7 linked regions of the Canis lupus familiaris genome follow. The protein of the gene in region 1 purifies or fractionates together with the protein of each later gene. This does not show direct contact. Links are inferred from orthologs where the notes say so. Each region holds a gene or a part of one and is shown in the gene's direction. Other genes may lie near its edges.

Region 1 (4,050 bases):
ATATACATAGGGAAAAGTGTACAGTTCGGTGAATATTCAGAGTAAATGTACTGGTGGTGGTGGGGGGATCAGCACCAGATTCAGATTAAGAAACTGAATGTGACCAGTCCAAGAGCTCCCTTTTGGCCTCTCCCAAGAGTGACCACTATCCTGAGTTCTCACACCACAAATTAGTTTTGTTTTGAATTTCATATAAAAGGAATCATATAATGCGTACTGTTGTATCTGATTTCTTTCATGAGACTTGTCCCTGTTGTCTGTGTAGCAGGATATCACTCTCTGCTGTGTCCACTGTGTGAACAGGCTACAATTCATTTTCCACTCTACTCCTGATGGGCTGTTTCCAATTTGAGGCCGTGCTCTACGGTGCTATGAAGATTCCAGTACACATCACTTGGTGCTCACACCTACGCATTTCTCTCAGCTTCTCTAGAAAACTGCCAGTTTGGGTGGCCCCGGTGGTGCAGCTGTTTAGCGCCGCCTGCAGTCTAGGGCGTGATCCTGAAGACCCTAGATCGAGTCCCACGTCAGGCTCTCTGCATGGTGCCTGCTTGTCTCTCTGCCCCTCTCTCTTTCTCTCTGTGTCTCTGTGAATGAATAAATAAATAATTAAAAAAAAAAACCTGCCCGTTTTCCAAAGCATCTCTATCCATTTTCACTACCCCAGGAACATGAGAGGTCTGGTTGCTCTACTCCTTTGTCTACACTTGATATGGTCTGTCGTTCTCATTTTAGCCATTCTGGTGGGTGGAGACCTACTCATATTTGCAGCATCTGGCCAGAAATGGGCACTCTGAATAGACTGCTGAATGAATGGCTGAGGAAGAGCTGGACAGGGCGGGAGCGACAGCCAGGGGAGGCTGGACACACGCTCTGCACGCAGCACGAGGGCCACCCCCGCGCCACAGACGCTCGCCGTGAGAGTGACCCTCTCGCGCCCCCTCCTCCTCCCCGCGCCCACGTGGTCTGAACGCACCTCCCCGGCCCGGCGGCGCGCGCCCTGGCGCCAAGCTGTCCCCAACCCTCCCTCTTGGCGGCGGGTAGGGGGCGCTGCGCGTCGGGGCGCCCCGAGGGGGCGGGCCCGGTCGGGGCGGGGCCGGCCGGCTTCCAGGCCTGGGCTTTGGCCGCCCGCACCGCCGGGCCGCTCCGGGGACGGGCCGGGGCGGGGCGCGGCAGCAGGAAACGGGGCGGGGACTCGCGGAGGCGTTGGGGAGCGAGGGAGGGCGCGGCCAACTCCCGGAGGGACGGCAGGCCGAGAGAGCGGCGCCCGGGTCTGGCCCGAGCCTGAGCCCGCCGGACGGGAGGCGGCCCAGCCGCGGGCTCGGCCTCGGCCCCAGTCCCGCCAGCATGGCCGGCCGGACCGTGCGGGCCGAGACCCGGAGCCGGGCCAAAGATGACATCAAGAAGGTGATGGCGACCATCGAGAAGGTCCGGAGATGGTGAGCGCTGCCCGGGGGCCAGGGATGGGACCCGGCGGGACCACTCCTCCCCCAAATGCGTCTAACCTCCCCTTCGCCGGCCGTGGCCGCAGGGTGTTAGGTGTGCCCCCCGGAGCTACAGGGCTCTGTCCCCCTTCTGGCTACACCCTAGGGTCTACAAAGCGTGTTCCCAAGCCGTACCCTCATTTATGCCCCGCCCCCTTAAGCTTTGACACTCCTCCCTCAAGTATGTCCAGGATCTTCATTGCTATGGTCCCCAGCCAGGCCCTCAGCCTTGCTCCCTTGTATACCCCAGGGGTCTGCAGAGCCATGGCCCCAAACCGTGCTCTCTCCTTAGAGGCACCCCTGTTTATGGCCTGGGGTCTGCAGGACTCTCTTTCTCCTTCTAACCATATGCCCCATTAGCGAAACCGCAGCACCCCCAAGTCTACAGGTCTCCCCAGATGTGTTCAGCTCCTGGGGGGGGCTCTCTCCTCAGAATTCTGACCCAGTCCCCCCCTCCCACAGGGAGAAGCGCTGGGTGACTGTGGGCGACACTTCCCTTCGTATCTTCAAGTGGGTGCCAGTGGTGGACCCCCAGGAGGAGGTGAGCAAACTCCCCCACTGTGCACCCTCAGGCAAGCCCCTTCCAATCCCAGCCTCCACCTCCAGTCCTGCTCTGAGACCTCAAATGCAGCAGCCAAGACAGATGTTAACAATTATTAGCAACTCCACCCCCTTCTCCCTTTTTCCTGCTTCAGACCCCTGAGTTCAAGCCCTAATCCACTGTGCCAGCCTCCTGTAGGGCCTTTTGCTGCTCTGTGCCTCAGTCTCCTTATTTGGACAGTGGGGGCTTTGCAAGCACTAACTGGAAAGCCGGAGCTGACCCTTATCCCTCTAACCCCCAGGAACGACGGAGGGCAGGTGGCGGGACAGAGAGATCCCGAGGCCGGGAGCGGCGGGGCAGGGGCACCAGTCCCCGAGGGGGTGGTCCCCTCATCCTGCTGGATCTCAATGGTATGTAGGGATCCTGGGATTTGGGGGGGTGTTGTGGGATGGGGAATTGAGGGAGCAGATTGGGGCTCTCAGGCCCAATGCTCTCGGCTTTTGCTCCCACAGATGAAAACAGTAACCAGAGTTTCCATTCGGAAGGCTCCCTGCAAAAGGGCACCGAGCCCAGCCCTGGGGGTACCCCCCAGCCCAGCCGCCCTGTGTCACCTGCTGGACCACCAGAAGGGGTCCCAGAGGATGCTCAGCCCCCACGGCTGGGCCAAGAGAGAGGTAGGACCAGGTGCCTCCCTGCAGCCCTCTCTTCTGAGTTGGCTGGTGGCTGAGTTGGAGCCATCAGCTTACCCCTACCTACACCTGCTCCCCTCCTTGTTATCCCCTTCCAGAGGCCTTCCCTGACTCCTGCAGAAAGTCACCATCCTACCTCCAGTAGCTAACTGTCTCATTCATCCGGCTTCTTTGGGTCTTTTTTTTTTTTCCCTTTGGGTCTTTATGTAATTAATCACTGTCTGAGATTTTCATGTAAATTTTATTTTTTACTACTCAAATTTCTTCCCCCACTCCCACCTCATGTTGGCTTCCTGAACTTTGGGCCCATGTTGCTCCTGTCCATTACTAGATCCTCAGAACAATGTGGGACACATAGAATGTACTCAATAAATATTTGTTAAGGAATGAATAATAGTGATATTCCTGAGGGTGATTAATAAGTGATAATGATAGCTAAGACTTATTGAGCTCTGTGTGCCAGATACCATTCTAAGCACTGAACATGTTTGATTTCATTTAATCCTCACTATAACCCTATGAAAGTTATAATCCCCACATGTGGATGAGAAGCTGAAACCCAGAGAAGTCTCCTAAGCTCACATGGCCAATGAGCCAGCATCTTGGGCATAATTTTGCCTTAGCTCCTCTTTCTTCCATATAGTCAATCCCCTGTCTGGTCGGAACCACCTTGCAAATGTGTCTCCCTTCCTATAAGAGCCATCTCTTACCTGTGCCTGGCTCCAGCCTCCTTGTGGGTCTCCTCTTCCCTAGTCACCTCTACACAGCTGCCAGAGCAACTTTTTCTAAAGCATAGATATGGCAGGCTCATTTTCCTGCTTCAAAGCCTTCAATGGCTCCTATGGCCTTTGACTCCTCCACTTGGCACTCACGGCCCTTCGTGAACTATCCCTGTTGGTCTCATTGTTCCTTTCCAGGAATACCATGACTTGGGCCTATGGGCCTATGGGCTGTGTCTAGATTGTACCGTGCACTTGGGTACCTTTACTAATACAAAAACAACAGGCATTTATTGAGCGCTTTCTATGTGCTAGACACTGTACTGAGGGCTTTACCTGTATTATCTCATTGCATCCTCACAACAGTCTCATGTGGTAATTACTATCATTATCCCCACTTTGCAGGTGGGGAAACTAAGTCCAGAGGAATTAAGTCACTTGCCCAAGGTCAGGATTTGAACCGGAGGAATCCAACCTCAGAATCTGTCCTCACAAACATATAGTCTGTCTGCCTAAAATGTGCTCCATCTCCACATTTGTCTACCCGATCAGATCCTACTCACCCATCAAGATCCCACTTAAATGTCCTTGCTGTGTCTTCCTCTGGCCAATAGCAA
Region 2 (3,937 bases), on another chromosome or scaffold:
CTCCTCCACAGGTCATTCATTCACTTATTCATCGAATATTTATGGAACATTATTAGATAACAGGCTCTGTTTCCAGCACTTAAAGTACACCCGTGAACAAGTCACGATTAGGTTCTCACGGAATGGATGTGGATAAGAAAATAAGAAAAATCCCAGGTCGTAGGGAGAGCGCTACACAGAGAATGTTGAGTATGATTAGCTGCTTAAGGCTGTACAGTCAGGGTTCGTTGTTTGTTTTTGTTTTTTTTTAATTTATGATAGTCACAGAGAGAGAGAGAGAGAGAGGGGCGAGCAGAGACAAAGGCAGAGGGAGAAGCAGGCTCCATGCACCGGGAGCCCGACGTGGGACTCGATCCCGGGTCTCCAGGATCGCGCCCTGGGCCAAAGGCAGGCGCCAAACCGCTGCGCCACCCAGGGATCCCTGTTTTTGTTTTCTGAAGCATCTTTAAACTATGAATTTGAAAGCGCCAAAGTGTCAGTCATAGGGGAAGAGCTGTCCCGGTTGCGGGAACAGCTGGTGCGAGGGCCCTGAGGCAGTAAAGAGCTGGCGTGGCTGGAGCCACCACGGGGAGGAAGGTGTGCGCTGCAGCAGCAGCTCCGGGCGGTGCGCCCAGGTGGATGCTTACAAAGGCTACGCGACCACGCCTTGCAGAAGGTCGGGCGCAGAGGGGAAGCAGGCGCAGGTTCCCCATCCTCGGCCAGCACTCGACACCCTAAACGGGCTCCCCCCTCGGAACTTCTCACTCCAGGTCTTTCCTCTCCGGCGGTGGCAGGGCAGGACACAGGATCCCCGTGCAGTGGTTGACGGGATGCAGGAACTTTGGTCCTGCACGACCCCGCAGAGGCCCAGAGCGAGCAGCGGAGAAACCGCGCAGCCGGCCTCGTCAGGCGGAAGAGGCGGGGGCAAGCGCAGGACCCGACTCCGCCCGGCGCCGGTGCTGCGCATGCGTGCGCGCGTGCCCTCTTCAGTTAGGGACCGGGTCCCGAGAAGGGGCGTGGCCGGCCCTCCGCGCCGGAAGGGGGTTGGCTGGGCGGGGCCGGGAGGCGGCAGCGGCGGCTGCGCGCGCGCGCGGGTGCGAACGGGGAACGCCGCGAGGGCCGGGGCGGGCCGGGCGGTGGGGACGACGGACGGCGACGATGGCCGCGGCGGCGGGCGGCGGCGGGCTGGGGGCGGCGGCGGGCGCCGCGGGCGCAGGAGGCGCGGCGGCGGCCGCGGGCCTGGCGGTTTATCGGCGGAAGGACGGTGGCCCGGCCAGCAAGTTTTGGGAGAGCCCGGAGACGGTGTCCCAGCTGGATTCGGTGCGGGTCTGGCTGGGCAAGCACTACAAGAAGGTGGGTACGCGCGCCCGTGGGGGCCGGGAGGCCACGCGACGGGAGCCGGGCGCAGCTACTGGCCTCGCGGGCCTCGGGCCGCCCCTCCCCCCCGCGCGCCACGAGGGACAACAAAGGCAGGCGCCGGGCCCGCCACGCCCCCGCCGTCCGCTCTCCGCGCCCGCGCGCCCCGGGCTGCACCGGCGGGCCCCTGGGGCCAGGCCTCTGGGAGCCCCCGCGCTGCGGGCGGCGCTGCGGGCGGGAGTCCCCCCCCAGCTCACCCCGGGGTGCCGGAGCATCTCGAGCTCAGCAAACCGGAGGGCGTGAATCTCTTTTGTTAGCTGCATTGGGTGTGCGAACAGTGATTATTACAAACTGTCCGAGCTAGTGTCGTAAGAGCAGCTTCAGGTTTTGTTTAGAGACGTCTTCAAAGTCAAGTGAGGTAGCTAAGGTTCTACTACCTGTTGTTGGCTCGGTGAAGAACGACTAGACGATTGTACTCGGAAGTTAACAGCAGGCCAATATAATGGATGATAGTATTGACGAAGCACGGATATTAAAAAAAAAACAAACACGACAGTTTTTACCCTATTATACTTTTAGTTCTGGGTAGTGTGAGTACAAGAAGGAACGTTCACTGGTACCTAATGAGTTTCTCAGTGAGGCCTTCCCTGAGAGCCCCATTTATACTAGACTGGCGCACTTCACATCACCTTGATTTTCTTTGTACCACTTTGTGAGATTTTTTTTTTTTTTTTCTCATTTAGCTGTTTCTCTTAACTCTTGGGTGGTAAGTTCCGTTGAGTCAGTGGTATTGAAAGTTGTGACTTAACCTTTTATTTATAACGAGTGTTTTTTAACTTCCCCTGGTAGATACATAGGAATGACTCTTTTAGAAGGTGTAATGAAGCAGACAGCCCAAAATACCTCCTCTGCCCCAGATTTCCGAACACCCTTTTCAAGTTCCATACTTCTCCCATTGAGAACCATAGCACTGGGGCAAGGAACTTGTCCCGCCTCTTCACTGCATTGCCCACCCCCCATCCCCCCATCCCCCTCATCCCCCCCACCCCCCGCGTGACTGGTACTCCTTGCCTCACCCTTAGTAGTTGCTTAGTAAATTCTCGTTCAGTGAATGAAAAGATGAAGTAGTCTAGAAAACCTATTCATTTGAGTTGTGCAGCGCAGTGGAGTTTGTCTGTTTCTAGAGATTGGTACGCAGGGGCAGGATCTTGGGTTCTTTTGACATTCCCCTGTGGTACTCTCGGAAATGACTTTCTTACTGAAGTTTTAGGAAGTGAGAGACATTTTTATTTACGATATATTTTTAGCTGTTTTGACTTTTTTTGCCCTCAAACTTTGCCGTCACGTTTGGGATTGCCAATTTTTTCTCATCCGCACATTAGGTAGACAAGAATATTGCTCTCTTACATAAATTGGTCACTTTTTTTTTTTTTAAACATCTGCAACAGAGCTTCTAGAAGTGGCTAAGGGAATTGAATATATTTATGTTTCGAAAGTATTATTTTTATCAGTGCCCTTCAGCCAAAGCTTTGGGTTTTAAATTCAGTGTACCTTAATGTGGCCTTCCCCCTCCCCCAGTCTGGATTTTTTTATTGAGATATAATTGACATATAGCTATTAGTTTATCAATGTGGTTTTAGCAGAAATGAGGAATATTCCTTTGGATATTAGGGAGGAGAAAGAGAAATAGCCATTTCTACCTCTCCAAACTCTGTGCATCTGTTTGGGCTCAATTTCCAAGTTTTTTTTTTTTTTAAGATTTTAAAAATTTATTTATTCAGAGAAAGAGGCAGAGACAGGCAGAGGGAGAAGCAGGCTCCCTGCAGGGAGCCCCATGTGGGATCATTCCCTGAGCCAGAGACTGGGCCACTCAGGCGTCCCTTTTCTTTTCTTTTTTTTTTTTTTTTTTTTAATTTATTTATTCATGATAGTCACACGGAGAGAGAGAGAGAGGCAGAGACACAGGCAGAGGGAGAAGCAGGCTCCAAGCACCGGGAGCCCGATGCGGGATTCGATCCTGGGTCTCCAGGATCGCGCCCCGGGCCAAAGGCAGGCGCCAAACCGCTGCACCACCCAGGGATCCCAGGCGTCCCTTTTCGGGCCCAATTTGAAGAGGGCCCTTGTCGGCTTGAATGGGTTTGTTTGGTGTGTGAGGAATTGTTTCTGAGGCTGACCGAGGGATTTGTCCCAGAGTGTTGATGCCATTGGGCAAATGTTGGCTCAGTGTTCTTCAGGCCTTAAAGTGAAGGTTAGGTTTGATTTCTCAGGATTTCCTAAGGCCAGGGTATATTTCTTGGGCTTCCTCAAATTCAGAATTGTATATTCCTCATGCCTGAGAGACAGAATCCTATCAGCCTCACAGAGTGGTATTGGAATGGCGAACCTAACCAGGATGCAATATGTATATGTCCACTCGGTGTACACATTGATGGCTATTAACTAAACTTTTTGTTGCATTTGATACTGCATTTTTATATTCATAAGTCTCAGCAACTGAATGAAATAAACACATTGTTGGTAATCCCACTTTTATTAGTGGGCTTATTCATGCATTCCATGAACAACTGGGCGTCTAAACGTATCTGGGCACTTAAACCATAAC
Region 3 (3,500 bases), on another chromosome or scaffold:
AGAAATGAGGATTAGTCTGAATGTCAAGGTTGAGTAAAGCAGAGCAACCAGCATATGTAAATAGGTGGAGCTGCAGAAGAAGCTTACATGTTTAGAAAGGTCATCCGTTAAGGATCCCTGTAACAGGGCAGCCCGGGTGGTTCAGCGGTTTAGCGCCGCCTTCAGCCCAGGGCATGACCCTGGGGACCTGGGATCAAGTCCCACATCGGGCTCCCTGCATGGGGCCTGCTTCTCCCCCTGCCTGTGTCTCTGCCTCTTTCTCTCTCTGTGTGTCTCTCACGAATAAATAAAATCTTTAAAAAAAAAAAAAAAAAAAAGGATCCCTGTAACAGTGGGTGTATTAGGACCAGTTGCAGTAAAGGTGGGCAGAGAGCAATCATGATAGGACTTGTAAACCACCACACTAGGGGTGTATTAAGCTGGCAAATGAAAGGATACCCCAAAGGAATTTAAACAGAGATATGAAATATTCATATTTTCCAACTAGAGGGAGGATTCTAACAGTGTTATATAGGCTAGATTAGAGGAAGATACTAGGATTAGTTAGGTGAGAATTCAGATGAGAAATGAAGAGGGTTCACATTTTATTACTGATGGAGATCCTGAGTTGGCTTTGAGGGGTATCAAAGAGATGAAAATTTTCCTAGATTTTTGATTGGGGTGATTGGGTACCATGCATTGAGGTAGGATAGAATGGGAAGGAGGAGGTTTTATGGTCTTAAAAGGCAAATGTAATACCGGAGGTCACTCTTATGGTTCAGTTATTCACTAGAAGGACTCACAGGACTCCGAATATAGTTGTACTCATGGCTAAGATTTATTCTACTGTAGGGATACAAAGCAAAATTAACAGGAAAGAAAGGGCATGGAGTGAAGTCCAGAGGAAAGCAGTGCAGACTTCTTAGAGTCTTTTCACAGTGGAGTCAAGCAGAATGTACTTAATTCCTCCAGCAATGAGATGTAACATGTGTGTTGTCTACCAGAGTAGTTCATTAGAGACAATTTTTACTGGGGGTGATCATGTGGGTACCCTGTGCCTTGCATGTACTAAAACCTAGGGTTCTCAGTGGGAAAGATGTTCATCATAAACCACATTGTACAAACAGTTGAGGTGCAGTGAACTACTCTCATCATTTAGGGGAAGTTTCATCAGTGTAGTGTAGTTATCAATCAGAGTTCTCAGATGCCAGCTAAGGGTCAGCCTTGCAAGCAGGTCTTTTTTAGTTACTGTGTGCAAAGTATTTGAATATAGGTGCTGTTGTAGTAAGTCGGTGAGAAGAATTTTAAGACATGGAGTTGTATTATATTAGCCAGAAAGCATGTGGAAGATGAGACACAGGTGGAGGATAGCGTCCCTTGTGAGAGCCTGTTCTGTTTTTATCCAAAGAGAAGAATGGGTGTCCATGAAGGAGAATGAGAAGGAACAGTTAGGGATGTAGGAGGATAAATAATATTCAGGAGAAGGCTAAGGGAAGAAAAAGTTCTTGGAGCATAGAAGTGATTCATTTTCATTGTTCTCAGCTGTGACATTGAGATTTACACAAGAAAGGAAGTGTTAGAGTGACTAACAGTTCATTGACCAAACAAACAAATCCTCATATGCCTGTGGGAGTATGTTGTACAGGTAATGACATTTTTTCTTTGGACTGTGGCAGAGCAAGTTTGTAAACTCTTCAGTGTTCAGTAGTGTCAGATGATGTTGAAGGAGTCAAGGATATTACAAATGTGAAGTTTCCCCTGGATTTGTCTGTCAGCAGGTCATTAGTGACTTATGCAAGCATTTTCTTTTTTTTTTTTTTTTTTTTTTTTTTTTACTATGCAAGCATTTTCGATGGAATGTTTAGGTGGAAGCCAAATTGAACTATTCCCTGAAGGTTTTTTTTTTAGGTTTTTAGGTTTTTAAATCTTTTTTCAAGTAGATTGTAAGCTTTTTGATATCCAATCTAGATCATACCATTCTTTTGTATTTTTTCTTACCATTCAAATTGCATACTGTGCTTCTAGTAAGTACTTATTGAATAATATTTATTTGGCATTTTAGGTCTATTAGATACAGTAATTATATTTGGGACAGGTCTAGGAGTTGTGATACTGTTGGGGCTGGAGGAACCAAAAAGAGGCTCCGTGTTTATAGACAACAAAGATGATGTCTATATAAAGTACTGTATTACGAAGTAAATCTATAAAATAAGTAGATTCTATGTTAATGCTTAACTATAGAAACCATCTCTTAAAAGATTCTGTGTTCATCTTCAACTAAGCATTGTTTTCAAGGTATTAATCTTATATTGTAGTTGAAGACTGGGATAGTTTCCAGGCTATTTTGGATCATACCTACAAAATGCATGTCAAATCAGAAGCCAGCCTGCATCCTGTTCTCATGTCAGAAGCACCGGTAAGACAGGCTTTCTTTTCTGAGTTTTGTAGTTGTTTTTTAAATTCATTCAAAGATTGTGTTCTTTTTTTCTTTAAAGAGGCATATTTTGAATTTTGAAAATTAGGGAAAGGAGGATTAATTTTTTATATCCTGTTACAATTTTTATTATTTCAGTAGTTAAAATATTCAAAGAACAATAACAAAGCACCCTAAATGGAATTTGATTATTTATTTTTTCCAGGGATTTATTTAACACTTGAATTCCTTGGGCCACTTCCCATTTGGGTTTATGAATTGTCCCGTATGCCCCAGGGGCAAGGTGTATCTGCTTTTATATTCTGTTTTCCAGGAGAGAAGTCAAATATGGAATTAGGGCTGGAAATTACTAGACCCAGGACTCTTGTGAAATAAATTTAGTAGAGTCCAAATTATCATAAATCATAAATTAACGATATTATCGTAACGATCATAAATTATCAATATTTTGTTATTGTTTTTAACCTATAGTTTTCTTTATGTGTACCAACTCTAAGTAGGAGAATTTGGTGGTTTAAAATTACCAGATTAATTCTTAAGATTTAATAATAGTTTATAAGAATTGGGATTTTCTTGTACTTTGAAGTCTGTAACTTGTAGAATTCATAGCAACAGATAATTATACTTTTTATTAAATAAATTTTCATTTATATTTACTGAATTTATTTACAGATAAATAGAAATAAATACACATATATTCTTTTTTTTTTTAATACACATATATTCTTATGAAGATTATTTTATGTGGTATTCTGTTTTTAATGCTTAAATCTTTGTTAATGTGGTGCTATATTGAATCTTGAAATAAATCAACATTTTAGTTTTTAAACAGTAAATAACTTGCATTTCTTTTTCCCCCTTTTCAAGTGGAATACTAGAGCAAAGAGAGAGAAACTGACAGAGTTAATGTTTGAACACTACAACATCCCTGCATTCTTCCTTTGCAAAACTGCAGTTTTGACAGCGTATCCTTGAAAGAGTAATACTCAGCTTTTCTTTCAAAGTAAATATGGTACCATTAAAGAGAATGCCCCCAGCAGGAAGACATGAGCCAGTTCTTGCTTGTTCAGAAGTTTGGGGTTTTTCT
Region 4 (3,500 bases), on another chromosome or scaffold:
TTTAACCCTGCGAAGCCTGATGCTGAAGATTCCGATGGCAGCATTGCCTCCTGGGAGCTGCGGGTGGAGGGGAAGCTCCTGGATGACGTACGTCCTGGCCCAGGTCTCTCCAGGTGTCCTGGGGTGGGTATGGGGCTGAGCTGAGGACAGAAGGAGATGTTTGCACTATGGGTTAGGGAGTCAGCCCAACCAGGGGTGGGCGGCCTGAAGAGACAGTATGGGTGTAGAGGCCTGCTTCTAATCATGCTGCCCTACCCAACCAGCCCCACCCACTCCCGACTCATCCTGCCCCCACGGTCCCTGTCCTGCCCCCACGGTCCCTGTCCCTCTCCCACAGCCCAGCAAGCAGAAGCGGAAGTTCTCTTCCTTCTTCAAGAGTTTGGTCATTGAACTGGACAAAGACCTTTATGGCCCCGACAACCACCTAGTCGAGGTAAGACCCAGACCTCTTTTGCCCGGGAACTGCCACCCTTCCAGACCACAGTTCCATCAGCCGCACAGATCTGGATCAGGGACCACCCTAGAGTCCCTGGCCTTGGCAGCCCATGTGGGCCTGTGAGGTGACCCAGCTCTCCTTCCCTGGGCAGTGGCACCGAACACCCACAACCCAGGAGACGGATGGGTTCCAGGTGAAGAGGCCAGGGGACCTGAGTGTACGCTGCACACTGCTTCTCATGCTGGACTACCAGGTCTGTGCCCTGCCCCCTGACTCCACCTGAGGCCCCTAGCCCCCCCAGCTCCCCACCCCTTCCCTTAGGCCAGGCCTAGGCTTCACAGAAATGCACCAAGAGACCCCATTCTTTTCCCTACCTCATTTCCAGAAGCAGGTTTCCCAGGAGCCCAGTCACCACATTCCCCCAGTCCCACACTGCCTGGCCCTGAGCTCTTCCCACTCCCTCTTTATGTCCATGGCCATCTTTCCTCAGCCTCCCCAATTCAAACTGGATCCTCGCCTGGCTCGGCTGTTGGGATTGCACACACAGAGCCGCTCAGCCATTGTGCAGGCCCTGTGGCAGTATGTGAAGACCAACAGGCTGCAGGATTCGCATGATAAGGAATACATCAATGGGGACAAATACTTCCAGCAGGTACCCTCTCTCCTGATCTTGGGGATGTGGGGGGCAAGCAGAGGTACCAATAGGGTAAGTGCCTCGACTAAGGCAGCACCACCCCCCTTCTAGATTCCTGGGTATCACAAATGGTAAGCAGGGTCCTAGTGTAGGCCCTACTGCAGCGTAGCTCCGTGCTGCAGCCCACCATCCATTTTAGACAAGCCAGTTTAGAAAGATCCAGAACCTTAAAAGGTCAACAGTTTGGGGAATGTAATATTCTTGGCACTTGGAAGTTAGGATCCCTGGGTTCTAGTCCTGGGTCCAAGACTCTACCAAAGTAGAGATTATTAATAATGCTTTAAAAATAAATATGGCAGATAAACTTGAGGAGTAAAATAACAGTCGAGGTTTATTGAGCACTCGCCATATGCCAGGCACCACTGCAGGCATTTGATGTGTACTCATCCACTTAGTTCTCCCAGCCACCCTGGTAGTTACTATCCCCACACCGGACATGCTACAACAGGCCTGAGAGCCTAGTGGACTGGCCCAAGGTTGCAGTGTTAATGGGAGAGGCAGGATTTGCACCTGGGTGGCCACCGACCCAGAGCGGGTGCTTTGGTCCCCTGCACCACAACCCCCACACCTCCTGGTCCACTCTCTACTGCCCACAGACACCCTGGTCCCAGCCCCAGCAGCACTAAGGAGTTAGATTTGCTCTTGGCATCTTGTGGCCGCCCACAATGGAAGGATCTAGGGCTGACTGGTCTCTTTCTCTCCCACCTCAGATTTTTGATTGCCCACGGCTGAAGTTTTCTGAGATTCCCCAGCGCCTCACAGCTCTGCTGCTGCCCCCTGACCCAATTGTCATCAACCACGTCATCAGGTGAGGCCCCAGCTTGCTCCTCTGACCAGAGAATCATGGCAGTCCTGCCCACTCTATCCCTCCCACCCCACCCCACCCCACCCCTGCCCCCCACCTCTGCCCCTGGGACCCTTGGCCTCTGTGGAAGCAGTGTGGATACCAAGGGCTGGACTTCCCTGGCAGCGTGGACCCGTCGGACCAGAAGAAGACGGCGTGCTATGATATTGACGTGGAGGTGGAGGAGCCACTGAAGGGACAGATGAGCAGCTTCCTCCTGTCCACAGCCAACCAGCAGGAGATCAGCGCTCTGGACAGTAAGGTGGGGCCAGAGCCCAGAACTGGAGTGGGACATTAACCCAGAAATGACAAAATACAGACAACAGACAAGAGCGTAGGCCTATGGAGAGATGAAGGGGGCAGGTGGCCCTTCCCTCGATACTTGGGAGTGCTGCCCATCCCCCCTTCCTCGGGACTACAGAGGCAGCAGCGACCTGAGGGATAGCCCTTCAAAGAACAGATGGCAGCAGATCCCAACCCCCACTCGCCCCCCTCCTCCTTCCCCTCCTCTCCCACATCACCATGGCCAGGTGAAAGTGTCTGTCTTTCTACCTGTAGATCCATGAGACGATTGAGTCCATAAACCAGCTCAAGATCCAGAGGGACTTCATGCTAAGCTTCTCCAGAGACCCCAAAGGCTACATCCAAGACCTGCTCCGCTCCCAGAGCCGGGACCTCAAGGTGAAGGGGACTCAGGGAGCACTGGATGGAAGACAAGCATATCGGGAAGACAGTAAATGTTGTTACATGGGGGCTGGAGGGGGTCTGGGCACAGGGCTGACCCCACTGCTCCCTCCCAGGTGATGACAGATGTGGCAGGCAACCCTGAGGAGGAGCGCCGGGCTGAGTTTTACCACCAGCCCTGGTCCCAGGAAGCTGTCAGCCGCTATTTCTACTGCAAGGTGTGGAGGGGCCCGTGTACCTCAGGCCTTCCCTCCCTCACTCCAGGAGAAGCCTCCCTTCTCAGCCACGTCTGTGGCCCTTGCCACTCCACCAACCCCCTCGCCGCGGAGGAGCCCTCCCTGCTCCCAGAGGCTCTTCCAGGGTGGCTGGGTGGGACTGTCCTGTCACTCACCAACAACAGCGTAACCCTGCTACTGCTCTTATTTCTCTAAAGATCCAGCAGCGCAGGCAGGAGTTGGAGCAGTCGCTGGTTGTGCGCAACACCTAGGAGCCCCTGTGAATGACCACCGCTGTGGGCCTCTGGGCCCAGGCCCTGTCCCCAAAGCTCTGCCATCACTCTTCTGACACGTGCCGGGTGAGGCAGGGGAATGATTAAAGGTCATGCATCTGAGAGCGGCCTTGTGTGTCATTGGCAACTGGGGAGGAAGGACAGGGGGAAGGCGGTGGGTCCCTCTGGGAAACCCCCCCCTCTGTCCCAGATTCTTCTCTTTACTCCATTTTCCCTAGACCTAAAAACAGTTTGGCAGAAGACGCTTTTAATAACATTTTCTTATTAAAAAAATACAGCAACAAGCTCTCCATCTGTCCATCCATTTTGCCTCACCCTTCCCAAGGCTGGCAGA
Region 5 (3,473 bases), on another chromosome or scaffold:
AATGTGAAGATCTAATTGGTTTTATTCAATGATTCATGAACTGGGCAGCATCCCTTCTAGTAAATAGGCATTCTGAGGACTTGCACAGAATGGAAAGTTTTGATAGCAAGGAGGTTACTAGCAAAAAATAAAGGATTGTTTCAGACCAGGTTATTTTCTTTTAGAGGGAAGGGAACCGACTGATACAATTTAAAAAGTTGTAAAGCAAAAAAAAAAAAAAAAAAAAAAAGTTGTAAAGTATGTAAGACATTATCGGAACTCACCACTACCAAAGACATAATTCAAAGACGGAGATGGGTGAGGCTGGAATAGCCGGGGAACGCTCCATGGCAAATTTCGGATTTGCGGTAATCCTCAGAGAGGAGAGCACCATAAGCTCAGGCAAGGAGGTGGGAGTGAGTACCGAAAGAGTGAAACGTGCCCTCAGTTTTCTCCTGTCCTGTGGTGACTGTAATTACGGAGGCTGAGCAGAGGAACACAGGACAAGGGGTGCCAGAAAGGATCCCAGAAGAGAGCAATGACTCATTAATAGCAGGGGGTGACTTTGGTCGTTGTGTTAGTAGTTTGCGAGGGCTGCCGTAGTAAAGTACCACGAACTGAGTGCCTTAACAAGAGAAATTTATTTTTATCTGGAGGCTGGAAGTCTGAAGTCAGGGTGTTGGGAGGGAGAATGTGTTTCCAGGCCCCTCTCCCAGCTTGCGATAGCCTCAGGCATTCCTTGGTTTGCAGATGGTGTTCTCCAGGTGTCTTCACATCATCTTCCCTCTGTGCATGTCTGTCTCTGTGTCCAAGTTCCCCCTTTTTATAAGGACACCAGTCCTGTTGGATTAGGCCCACCCTAATGACCTCATCTTAACTTGATCATCTGCAGAGACCCTATTTCCAAATAAGGTCACATTCACAGGTACTGGGGGGTTAGGATTTTGTCGTCTTTTGGGGGGATACAATTCATCCATAACAGGTATGAAGGAGGGAAACAAGTCCTTCTCCTCTTTCTCCCCCCTTCCCTGTCCCCCAGACCATGACCGATGTGGTGGGTAACCCAGAGGAAGAACGCCGAGCTGAGTTTTACTTCCAGCCTTGGGCTCAGGAGGCCGTGTGCCGATACTTCTACTCCAAGGTAGGTGCCTGGGTGTGGGAAATAGACAAAAAGGCAGGGATCTGAACCCCTGATGGATGTCAGTAGTATGAGGTGCCAGCTTCTGGCTTGTCTCATCTTCTGCTCCCTCCACTGTTTTCTCTCTAGGTGCAGCAGAGACGACAAGAATTAGAGCAAGCCCTGGGAATCCGAAATACATAGGGCCTCTCCCACAGTGCTGAGCTGGCTCCATCGATTCTTATTTGGGCCCTGTGCTACCTGCCTCATAGCACCTGCCTTGGCCTTGCTTGGGGCCTCCCAGGGGATGCTGTTGGTTCAAGGACAACATCAGAAAGAAGAGGGTCTCACATTTCTGTCTCATAAGACACCTGTCACCCTCTTCTCCCACCCCATCCCTTCCTGTCCCCCAGCTTCCCTTTGCCCCACAAAGTTCCCATGTGCCTCTACCCTCCCCTGGTCTACATAGGACCTCTAGGTAGCGTTAGAGAGAGAACCTGTAGTGGTAACCAGTGCATTGAATGGATTGGGCCTAAGGCCAGGTGGTCTTCAAGGGGACCAGCTACACTGATCCTGCCCTTCAGAGACCCAGGAGTTGGGAGCTTTAGTCCCTTCTCTGAGACTCAGGCCTGGGGGCACTCTATAAGCTAGTTGATCTTGGCTCTCTGGATAACAGAATCCAATTTCCTTCCTTCCCTCCACAGGTTTGGAGCACACTCTCCCTTTACTTCTTGCCCTCTAGCACTAAAGGAACCCCGGTTCTTGGGCCCCACTGAGCCCCAGGTCAGTCCGCAGCCCTCTGGATTGGCCTGCTGTCTCAGTGCTTCTCTTACTCCCTCGTAGGGGGTCCACATCAGTATTGGAGTTTGTTCTTTAACTGTTGCTCCTTCCCAGCACACTCCCTGTAGCTGCTCTTTTTAGGCTCCCCTGCTATCTATCTGTCCTAACGCAGGGCATTTGGGTGGGGGAATCTTGCCTTTCCCTGTCAGAGCCCCAGGGATCTAACCTGGGGTATTGTCATTGCCAGCAGAGGCTATTCCTTCCTGCTGTTGCTTGGAGGTGTGACTCATTTATTCACTCCACCCTGCCCCCCCACCCCCACCCCTTCGTGGAGAAACAGGCCTGAAATCAAACGGGTAAAAGCCCTGGGCCATCCCTGTCTTCCTGTCCCTTGTCTGCCCAGTTGACACCCACTGGTGACTTCTAGGGCACTGAGGAGTGAAAGCGCCTAGGGCTGGCGAATAGCTCTGAGTTGGGTTTGTGACTCTTCCCTCTCCCTGCCTCACAGGATTGTGACTCCCCAGCCCCTGCCCTCAAAGCTTCAGACCCCTCAGGTAGCAGCAGGACCTTGTGATCTTGGCCCCTTGGAACTGAGATGGTTTTGCATCTTTCCAGGAGAGCCTCAGATTCTTCTTCCAGGTTGTATCACCCCAAGTTAGCATACCCCAGGCTCGCAGACTCAACATAGCAGGGTGGGAGACAGCTGGGCACAGAGGGGGACTCCGTTCAGCCTGGGCTCTAAACCCACAGAACTGACAAAGCCCCTGCTTCCCCACCCCCTCCTCAGGCTCCTGCGAGCACATCCTCCAGCCCCATAACCCTGCCTGTTCCACACCGGGGACAGAATTTTCTCTCCATCTTCCCCTTCTGACCATTGTCCCATCCCTCCCTTAAGAGGTTCTCCCCACAGACACTGGACAACCTCTGTCCTTGGGGCTGGAACCAGGAGAAGGAAGTTCAGCACTCCTACATAGTGTCCCTGTTGAAGATAACTTTTTATTAACGGAATTATTATGTTTTTTTCATGGACCAAAATTTTTTTTGTACTGTCCCCTTATCGATGTCACCCAGTTTTAATAAAAGAATCTTCTGAAGGATGGGTCCCCCTACCTACTGAGGGAGAGCTTTTCCCCGAGCTCTTTCTCCAATACCATTAGCCACACTCATGGTGTTTGTTCATTTTATTTAACAAATATTGACTGAGCACCTGCTGTGTGCCAGCTGCGGTACTAGGCACTAGGGATACGGTGGAAAACGAGGTTTCTGCGCTGTGGACCTCAGGTTCTCCAGAGCTTGCTCTGTCAGCCCGCTGGCTGAGCAGGCTGGTCTGAGCAGGCTGGGTACTGGTTGGGATCATTGGGCTTCCTCCGTGGATCTGAGAGTCCCGCCCCGGGCTCTAGGTAGGGAGGTACTACCAAGGCCGTGCCACTGCCATCTTATCTTCTCCCCGTGGTGTGCGCAGGCGCCGTAGGCTTGCTGATCCTGAGCCACCTTGGGGGCAGGTCCTCTTGGGCCCCTATCCAGCCAGGTCCTAGCTGAGGACCTCTGTGTGCCTCTGCCTGCTGTTCCCTTAAGGCTCCACTCTAGGGCCCTAGTG
Region 6 (3,500 bases), on another chromosome or scaffold:
AGGCATAAATATTACCTTATGATACATTGCCTTCAAGTAGTTTTACTATATTTAAATATGAACTCTACTGTAATATATTGCGTAATGCCATTTATTTTTCTCCTTTTTAGGCTAAATGCTCATTTTGAAGTAAATCCAGACTGTTCTGTCTCTCGAGCAGAGATGTATTCTGAGTACCTCTCAACGTGCAGTAAATTAGCTCGTGGTGGAATCCTAACTTCAACTGGATTTTATAAATGTCTTAGGTAGGATGTTTAGTTATTAACTTTAAACAAAGTTAATTTGAATCACCTAGAATATCTCTTGCTCTTTGGGGAAAATACCAACTATCTATCTACTTTTAAATATTTCTACTACTTGAAATTTCATATAGGCTATGTTGTAATAAGATGGAAATTTAAATACAAGGAGATTTTTGGAAATCAAACCTCATGTTTGTGTTTAAACATTATGAGGCTTATCAAAGAAAGAGAAGGGAAAAACTTCTTTCTACCCACTGAAATATGTTAGAGACATGACTTTTGCCCTTTTTATCTTGAATAATAGTCTACAACTAATACTCTTATCTTCAAATATCAAGGCTTTTGATATTTTGCAAAAGTTCATAAAATAGACATTGCCTAGATGCAGCTTCTTTGTTCATTAGATATGGTATAGAATTATTTAAAACCCAACAATGTTAATAATGATTTTAAAAATTGGGAAATTGATCTTTTATATTTTTTCTTTGCTTCCCACCCTTACAGAATAGATCTATATGAATCATACTGGTTCGTATTAGTAGCAGTAACTATCCTGCTACTGTTCATGTAAACATTGTTTGAAATGTTTTTTGCTCGTTTGCTAGTTTATAAAACTAAGTTATGTGTGTACTTTACAGAACGGTCTTTCCAAATCATACAGTGAAGAGAGTGGAGGATTCCAGTAGCAACGGGCAGGCACATATTCATGTAGTAGGAGTAAAAAGGAGGGCTATACCACTTCCCATTCAGATGTACTATCAGCAGCAACCAGTTTCTACTCCTGTTGTTCGTGTTGATTCTGTTCCTGATGTATCTCCAAGTCCTTCACCTGCAGGTATTAATTTTTGAGTTTTTAAGTATTACTAACTTAACAAACAAAATGAAACAGTATATTATATAAATTTAAAATGAATAATTTTTCCTTGTTTTTCCAGTTGCATTTTGCTTATTCTGTTACTTTTATCATATTCATATGATGCAGAGGTGTTAAATGTTAATTTCTTAAAAGGATTTTTCTTTTGTATTAAGTAAAGCAATGCCTACATTCAGCTTTTCAGTCCTTTCCTTATGAATTTTGACCTTTCCCTCATATTTTCAGGAATCCCTCATGGACCACAAACTGTAGGAAACCATTTTCAGAGGACTTCTGTTACCAACCAGTCTTCAAATTTGACTGCAACACAAATGTCTTTTCCAGTACAAGGTGTTCATACTGTGGCACAGACTGTTTCCAGAATTCCACCAAATCCTGCAGTTCATACCCACCAGCAGCAAAATGCTCCAGTGACTGTCATTCAAAATAAAGCTCCAATTCCTTGTGAAGTTGTTAAGGCTACAGTAATCCAGAATTCTATATCCCAGACAGCAGTTCCTGTTAGCATTGCTGTGGGAGGTGGAGCTGCTCAGAGTTCTGTGGTTCAGAATCACAGTACAGGGCCACAACCTGTTACGGTTGTAAATTCCCAGACATTGCTTCATCATCCATCTGTAATTCCACAACAGTCTCCATTACACACAGTGGTACCAGGACAGATACCTTCCGGCACTCCTGTTACAGTAATTCAACAAGCTGTCCCACAGAGTCATATATTTGGCAGAGTACAGAACATACCAGCATGTACTTCTTCAGTATCACAGGGTCAACAGTTAATCACCACATCACCCCAACCTGTGCAAACTTCATCTCAACAGACGTCAGCTGGTAGCCAGCCGCAAGACACTGTTATCATAGCACCTTCACAGTATGTAACAACTTCTGCATCCAATATTGTCTCAGCAACTTCAGTACAGAATTTTCAGGTAGCTACGGGACAAATGGTTACCATTGCTGGTGTCCCAAGTCCACAACCCTCAAGGGTAGGGTTTCAGAACATTGCACCAAAACCTCTCCCTTCTCAGCAAGTTTCATCAACAGTGGTACAACAGCCCATTCAACAACCACAGCAGCCAACCCAACAGAGTGTAGTGATTGTAAGCCAGCCAGCTCAACAAGGTCAGACTTATGCACCAGCCATTCACCAAATTGTTCTTGCTAATCCAGCAGCTCTTCCAGCTGGTCAGACAGTTCAGTTAACTGGGCAACCAAACATAACTCCATCTTCCTCACCATCACCTGTCCCAGCTACTAATAACCAAGTTCCTACTGCCATGTCATCATCTTCCACCCCTCAATCACAGGGACCACCTCCTACCGTCAGTCAGATGCTATCTGTGAAAAGGCAGCAACAGCAGCAGCATTCACCAGCACCCTCACCGCAACAGGTACAAGTACAGGTTCAGCAGCCCCAACAAGTACAGATGCAAGTTCAGCCACAGCAAGCGAATGCAGGCGTTGGTCAGCCTGCTTCTGGTGAGTCAAGTCTGATAAAACAGTTGCTGCTTCCAAAGCGTGGCCCTTCGACACCGGGTGGTAAGCTAATTCTCCCAGCTCCACAGATTCCTCCCCCTAATAACGCGAGAGCTCCCAGCCCTCAGGTGGTATACCAGGTGGCCAATAACCAAGCAGCAGGTTTTGGAGTGCAGGGGCAGTCTTCAGCTCAGCAGCTGTTGGTTGGGCAGCAAAATGTTCAGTTGGTACAAAGTGCAATGCCACCCACAGGCGGAGTGCAAACTGTACCTATCTCGAACTTACAAATATTACCAGGCCCACTGATTTCAAACAGCCCAGCAACCATTTTCCAAGGGACTTCTGGCAACCAGGTAACCATAACAGTTGTGCCAAATACAAGTTTTGCAACTGCAACTGTGAGTCAGGGAAATGCAACTCAGCTCATTGCTCCAGCAGGAATTACCATGAGTGGGACACAGGCAGGAGTTGGACTTCAGGTGCAAACGCTTCCAGCCACTCAGACATCTCCAGCTGGACAATCATCCTGTACTACTGCTACTCCCCCATTCAAAGGTGATAAGATAATTTGCCAAAAGGAGGAGGAAGCAAAAGAAGCAACAGGTTTACATGTTCACGAACGTAAAATTGAAGTAATGGAGAACCCGTCCTGCCGGCGAGGAACCACGAACACCAGCAATGGGGATACAAAGGAAAATGAAATGCAGGTGGGAAGTCTTTTAAATGGGAGAAAGTACAGTGACTCAAGTCTACCTCCTTCAAACTCAGGGAAAATTCAAAGTGAGGCTAATCAGTGCTCACTAATCAGTAATGGGCCATCGTTAGAATTAGGTGAGAATGGAACATCTGGAAAACAGAACTTGGAACAAATGGACATGCCGGATATCAAAAGTGATTTGAAAAAACCTCTA
Region 7 (4,142 bases), on another chromosome or scaffold:
TCTTTCTTTTTTTTTTTTTTTTTTTTAAGATTTTATTTATTCATGAGAGAGAGAAAGAGACAGAGACACAGGCAGAGGGAGAAGCAGGCTCCATGCAGGGAGCCCGAATGGGACTCGATCCCAGAACTCCAGGATCATGCCCTGGGCTGAAGGCAGCGCTAAACCACTGAGCCACCCGGGCTGCCCAAAAGCCCCAGATGTTTCTTGTGCTTATTAAAGTTTAAGAAGCACTGGCCTGTATCAGGGGGAGGAAACCCCAGATGACCAGCATGTAGGCTAACACAGCTGAAGGGCTTTATTTTGAATACCTTATGACACAGGATAGTGGTTTCTGAAAAGGTATTGAATTTTTTTTCCAATTAAGTACTATAAATCCTGGAGAAAGACCTTATTTAACTGCAGGGAGTTTTCTCACAAGGCAAAATTCCTCCCCCTAGAAACATTTCCTGTGGAGTAAAGTACTAGGCTTCCTTAAAGTGAGGCAGAGCCACGTTAAAAATATGCGATAAGAGCTCGGCGCAGGGCCAAGTCAGCCCGTCACACAGCTGGACTGGGTCTGGGGCAGCTGACGTCCCTTGGCAGCTCTGAGCCAGCAGGATGGGCTATTAAACAAAGTGAAGCTGGTGGCTCTTCTGCCTCAGGAAACAGCTCTAAGCTGAATTTTTACTGCCTAAAACATAGAAAAGCGACTTAAGTCAACTATTTTCAGGGAGTGTAACTGGGAACCTCGGGGGGCGGGCTCCACGGGGCAGAGATCAGCAACTCCCCACGCATTCTCTGTTGAAGCCCTTAGGTGACCTTCAACCTCTGACCCCGCGCCTTGCACAGCGCTTCCTGCGCAGCTTTCCGCCTCCGCCCCTCCGGTCAAGGGCGGGCCTGAGGCGTGGGGGCGTGGCTGGGGGGGGCGGCTGGCGGTTAGGGGCGGTGCTTGCTGGGGGCGGGTCTCGCGAGGGGCGGGATTTGAGCGGCACCGTGGCATTGGACTGCAGGTTCTAGGCGGGGCCTAGCGCCGGGCTTGTTTGGGCGGGGCTGGGAGTTAGTTGCCGCCTCCGGGTAACTGGACTCCGGCGGCCAAACCTCCGGAGGCCGCGAGCGTCAGGCGGGCGTGCAGCAGATCCCGGATCCGGAATTGCCCGGGCAGGACCGGAATCAGGATCGGCCCTGCCCCAAACCGGGTCTGCGAGGAGGAACTTGAGAACTTGGATTGGGAAATCCCGGAACCCGGATCAACAAGCCCCAGAACCCGGAATTTAGATCGGGAAGTCCCGGAGCACGGATCGCGGAGCGGACTCGACACGGAGCCCGGAGCCCGGATCGCGACACCGCCGGACGGGACGGAGCGATGTCGGGCCGTGGCGCGGGCGGGTTCCCGCTGCCTCCGCTGAGTCCTGGTGGCGGCGCCGTTGCCGCGGCCCTGGGAGCGCCGCCTCCGCCCGCGGGACCCGGCATGCTGCCGGGACCGGCGCTCAGGGGGCCAGGGCCGGCTGGCGGCGTGGGGGGCCCCGGGGCCGCCGCCTTCCGCCCCATGGGCCCCGCGGGCCCCGCGGCGCAGTACCAGGTGAGCAGCGCGGCCGGGCGGGCGGGTGGCGCCGCGAGGTCGCCCGGGGCGATGGGGCGATGGGGGCTGGAGTCGGGGCCGCGGGGCAGCCCCCGGGCGGGGCACGGGGGCCCGGCGTGCGGAGTGCGCGGGACGGGGTGCAGGGCAAGGCCGGGCGGCGGGGCAGCTCGGGGAGAGGGTCAGAGCGAGCCTGGGCTGGAGGGTTGGGGGCGGTTGGGAGGGTCTGGAGGTTTTCTTGGAACGGGGATTCTGAGTGAGAGGTGGAGGAACCGGAGCCCGGGAGCTGTGGGCGAGCGGACCGAGAAGTCTAGTGTAGGTCCTAGGGAAGGGGGCTCGGGGAAGTGCTGGGAAAGTTTTGCAAAAGGGCCCTCACGGAGAAACCAGGGTTACCCTGCCTTGGCCTTGGTCCCACTCCAAGTCTGCGCTGGGCTTTTTTTTTTTTTTTTTTTTCTTCTAGTTGGGAACTGGCAGAGTTCTAGCGTGTCTGAGATGGCTCCCAGCTGCTGATGGGGAGGAAGAAGGGCCTGGCTCCCCGCGGCCCGGGAGGTGGAGAACGGAGCAAGGGGACCCCAGCCTGTGCCGGGCAGGGTCTGCTCCAGGTCAGGCCCAGGAGCCCTCCCGTGGGGTGGCTCCGGGTTCGACCAGAGCTGGTGGTGGCCAGGCCTGAGGCAGGCGGAAAGCCCAGCCCGTTCTGGGCCGACTCTCCTTTTGGCTTTCTGCCTGGTGTCCTAGTGTCCAGGAGTTGGTTAGTGTGCAGGAGCAGAGAGGCTCCACTGAGCCCTGCTGGTCTGGGGCTGGAGGAGCCTGTCTGTGAGAGTTGCTTCAAAGAGTTCTGTCCTGACCCCTTTGGAGTTTGGCTTCCAAGAGAGCGCGTCTCAGGTTGCAGCTTCAAAGGCCGAGGAGAGGTAGAGACTCCATCCTTAGGGCCTGACCCTGCTGGTGGGGCTCATCAGTACCCCCCTCTCCAGTCCATTGTTTCTGGTTGCCCCAGAATGCTTGGGAATTGTGCCCATCCTTTTTTGCACTCTCTCTGCACTCTTATTTAGCCTTTAGGTTCTAGCAATGTCATATCCCAACCAACCCGTGTGCCCCAGCGTTTGGCACTGGCTTCTTTGCTAATCTCCCAAGGAAGCTGGGGTTGACTCTCTGGTCTCCAGGTAGAGGCTCCACAAATGGATCCTCATAGGATAGGATATGCTTATCTCCCTCGCCGCCCCCCTCAGAGCCCTGGGCCCTTACTTTCTAAAGAGACGCCTAACTGGGGACCCTGATTTTTCCCACTTACTCTTCATCCCCCCTCCTCTCTGTAAAGAAAACAAAATATCTGGGTACTGACAGAGATAATGCCAGTGACTCCCATCTTTCCCATCTTGCTTTCCCACTTGGGGATTCATGGGTCCAAGCTGATGCTGAGGGGTCTCGACATGAGTCATTACAGCCCCTGGGCCGGCTAGCTGAGCACAGGCCTTGGAGTCTCTCTGGGCCTTTGGTCTAAGAAGAGATAGGAGCCTCTCCAGTTGCCTTTGTTCAAAAGCTGTGAGCAGTGTGGCCTGGGGAAAGCCCTTGGATAATGGGTTCCACAGCCCTATGTAGGGAGTGGCCTTGGGCCAGTGGCAAGGTCCAGCTGACTGGCTGGGGAGCCCCAGGCTGCTAGGGTTGGGGACCAAAGGGTAGGCACTGAGCTTCTGCTTCTGCAAGCTTCCTGTCCCACCAGCTTTTCATAACCTCTTCCTCCTCCTCCAGGAAGGGACAGTAGAGGATCCAAGGGGAGAGGGAAGACCCAGTTCACCCTGGCTAAGTTCGAGTAAGATTCTGCTTGGCCTCTTTCTAAGTCCAGTTGTGTGACTTCCAGGAGATGGGACTTCAGAGGAGCAAAGGGGGTCCTGTCTGTTAGGGTACATGAAGTGAGCTAGAAGAGCAAGGCTTTCCAGGCCAAGTGGGGTAAGTTAGGGAACCTATGGAAAGAGGGGAAGTGATGACCCACCTCCCTCCACACAGTGGATCTAGCTGTGGATCATACTCGACAGAAGAGCTTAAGGAAAACAAGAAATGGGGCAGTTTGGGTGGCTCAGTGGTTTAGTGCCGCCTTCAGCCCAGTGCCTGATCCTGGGGACCCAAGATCGAGTCCCATGTCGGGCTCCCGGCAAGGAGCCTGCTTCTCCCTCTGCCTGTGTCTCTGCCTCTCATGAATAAATAAATAAAATCTTAAAAAAAAAAAAAAAAAAAAAAAGAAAGACAAAACAAAACCCAAAGAAACCCAGATTGTTGGGTTCACTCCAGAGTTCAAAATATTTTCTGCTTATGGAGGGGTATGTTCCCTTCTCTTAGGCCTGGGCCACCAGGGGCGCCAGGGCCACAGGCTTTGAGGCAGGGTGCTGCGTGCTCTCTGGAGGTGCAGCATTAGGCCCAGCCACGTGCCCTGCTGTCCTGGGCAGTGGAGGTAGAGTCACACTTAGGACATGGGCTGCTGCCGGGCAAGGGAGAGGACATTGTCACACACTTCCTAGCTTGAGCTTTACTGCAGGCAGGGACTTACAGAGCCTTGAGTGGCCTGACTGGGATTTGTTTTGGGGTGTTTTGTTTT

Evidence for each region.
Region 2: the proteins of BCL7C (region 1) and SMARCC1 purify together in Homo sapiens (affinity purification with mass spectrometry; 4 studies listed by BioGRID and IntAct, counting the BioPlex papers as one, with this or other methods). This does not show direct contact. The link is inferred for Canis lupus familiaris from reciprocal best matches to the Homo sapiens genes BCL7C and SMARCC1.
Region 3: the proteins of BCL7C (region 1) and ACTL6A purify together in Homo sapiens (affinity purification with mass spectrometry; 3 studies listed by BioGRID and IntAct, counting the BioPlex papers as one, with this or other methods). This does not show direct contact. The link is inferred for Canis lupus familiaris from reciprocal best matches to the Homo sapiens genes BCL7C and ACTL6A.
Region 4: the proteins of BCL7C (region 1) and SMARCD3 purify together in Homo sapiens (affinity purification with mass spectrometry; 3 studies listed by BioGRID and IntAct, counting the BioPlex papers as one, with this or other methods). This does not show direct contact. The link is inferred for Canis lupus familiaris from reciprocal best matches to the Homo sapiens genes BCL7C and SMARCD3.
Region 5: the proteins of BCL7C (region 1) and SMARCD1 purify together in Homo sapiens (affinity purification with mass spectrometry; 5 studies listed by BioGRID and IntAct, counting the BioPlex papers as one, with this or other methods). This does not show direct contact. The link is inferred for Canis lupus familiaris from reciprocal best matches to the Homo sapiens genes BCL7C and SMARCD1.
Region 6: the proteins of BCL7C (region 1) and ARID2 purify together in Homo sapiens (affinity purification with mass spectrometry; 3 studies listed by BioGRID and IntAct, counting the BioPlex papers as one, with this or other methods). This does not show direct contact. The link is inferred for Canis lupus familiaris from reciprocal best matches to the Homo sapiens genes BCL7C and ARID2.
Region 7: the proteins of BCL7C (region 1) and SMARCD2 purify together in Homo sapiens (affinity purification with mass spectrometry; 3 studies listed by BioGRID and IntAct, counting the BioPlex papers as one, with this or other methods). This does not show direct contact. The link is inferred for Canis lupus familiaris from reciprocal best matches to the Homo sapiens genes BCL7C and SMARCD2.

Annotation. Positions count from the first base shown.
Region 1 is NC_049227.1:17,466,817-17,470,866, forward strand, and holds the start of BCL7C (B-cell CLL/lymphoma 7 protein family member C), read left to right. Parts: upstream 1-1,250; 5' UTR 1,251-1,347; coding exon 1,348-1,439; intron 1,440-1,946; coding exon 1,947-2,025; intron 2,026-2,326; coding exon 2,327-2,435; intron 2,436-2,537; coding exon 2,538-2,699; intron 2,700-3,996; exon of another isoform or gene 3,997-4,050. UniProt on the Homo sapiens protein: May play an anti-apoptotic role.
Region 2 is NC_049241.1:41,570,875-41,574,811, forward strand, and holds the start of SMARCC1 (SWI/SNF complex subunit SMARCC1), read left to right. Parts: upstream 1-1,137; coding exon 1,138-1,332; intron 1,333-3,937. UniProt on the Homo sapiens protein: Involved in transcriptional activation and repression of select genes by chromatin remodeling (alteration of DNA-nucleosome topology).
Region 3 is NC_049255.1:13,142,908-13,146,407, forward strand, and holds part of ACTL6A (actin-like protein 6A), read left to right. Parts: intron 1-2,294; coding exon 2,295-2,395; intron 2,396-3,280; coding exon 3,281-3,378; intron 3,379-3,500.
Region 4 is NC_049237.1:16,005,955-16,009,454, reverse strand, and holds the end of SMARCD3 (SWI/SNF-related matrix-associated actin-dependent regulator of chromatin subfamily D member 3), read left to right. Parts: coding exon 1-87; intron 88-337; coding exon 338-433; intron 434-587; coding exon 588-689; intron 690-926; coding exon 927-1,088; intron 1,089-1,840; coding exon 1,841-1,938; intron 1,939-2,100; coding exon 2,101-2,236; intron 2,237-2,532; coding exon 2,533-2,655; intron 2,656-2,774; coding exon 2,775-2,876; intron 2,877-3,091; coding exon 3,092-3,145; 3' UTR 3,146-3,450; downstream 3,451-3,500. UniProt on the Homo sapiens protein: Involved in transcriptional activation and repression of select genes by chromatin remodeling (alteration of DNA-nucleosome topology).
Region 5 is NC_049248.1:42,025,276-42,028,748, forward strand, and holds the end of SMARCD1 (SWI/SNF-related matrix-associated actin-dependent regulator of chromatin subfamily D member 1), read left to right. Parts: intron 1-601; exon of another isoform or gene 602-1,018; coding exon 1,019-1,120; exon of another isoform or gene 1,121-1,242; intron 1,243-1,246; coding exon 1,247-1,300; 3' UTR 1,301-2,973; downstream 2,974-3,473. UniProt on the Homo sapiens protein: Involved in transcriptional activation and repression of select genes by chromatin remodeling (alteration of DNA-nucleosome topology).
Region 6 is NC_049248.1:38,086,938-38,090,437, forward strand, and holds part of ARID2 (AT-rich interactive domain-containing protein 2), read left to right. Parts: intron 1-110; coding exon 111-245; intron 246-880; coding exon 881-1,077; intron 1,078-1,341; coding exon 1,342-3,500. UniProt on the Homo sapiens protein: Involved in transcriptional activation and repression of select genes by chromatin remodeling (alteration of DNA-nucleosome topology). Required for the stability of the SWI/SNF chromatin remodeling complex SWI/SNF-B (PBAF).
Region 7 is NC_049230.1:15,127,868-15,132,009, forward strand, and holds the start of SMARCD2 (SWI/SNF-related matrix-associated actin-dependent regulator of chromatin subfamily D member 2), read left to right. Parts: upstream 1-1,342; coding exon 1,343-1,558; intron 1,559-4,015; exon of another isoform or gene 4,016-4,142. UniProt on the Homo sapiens protein: Involved in transcriptional activation and repression of select genes by chromatin remodeling (alteration of DNA-nucleosome topology).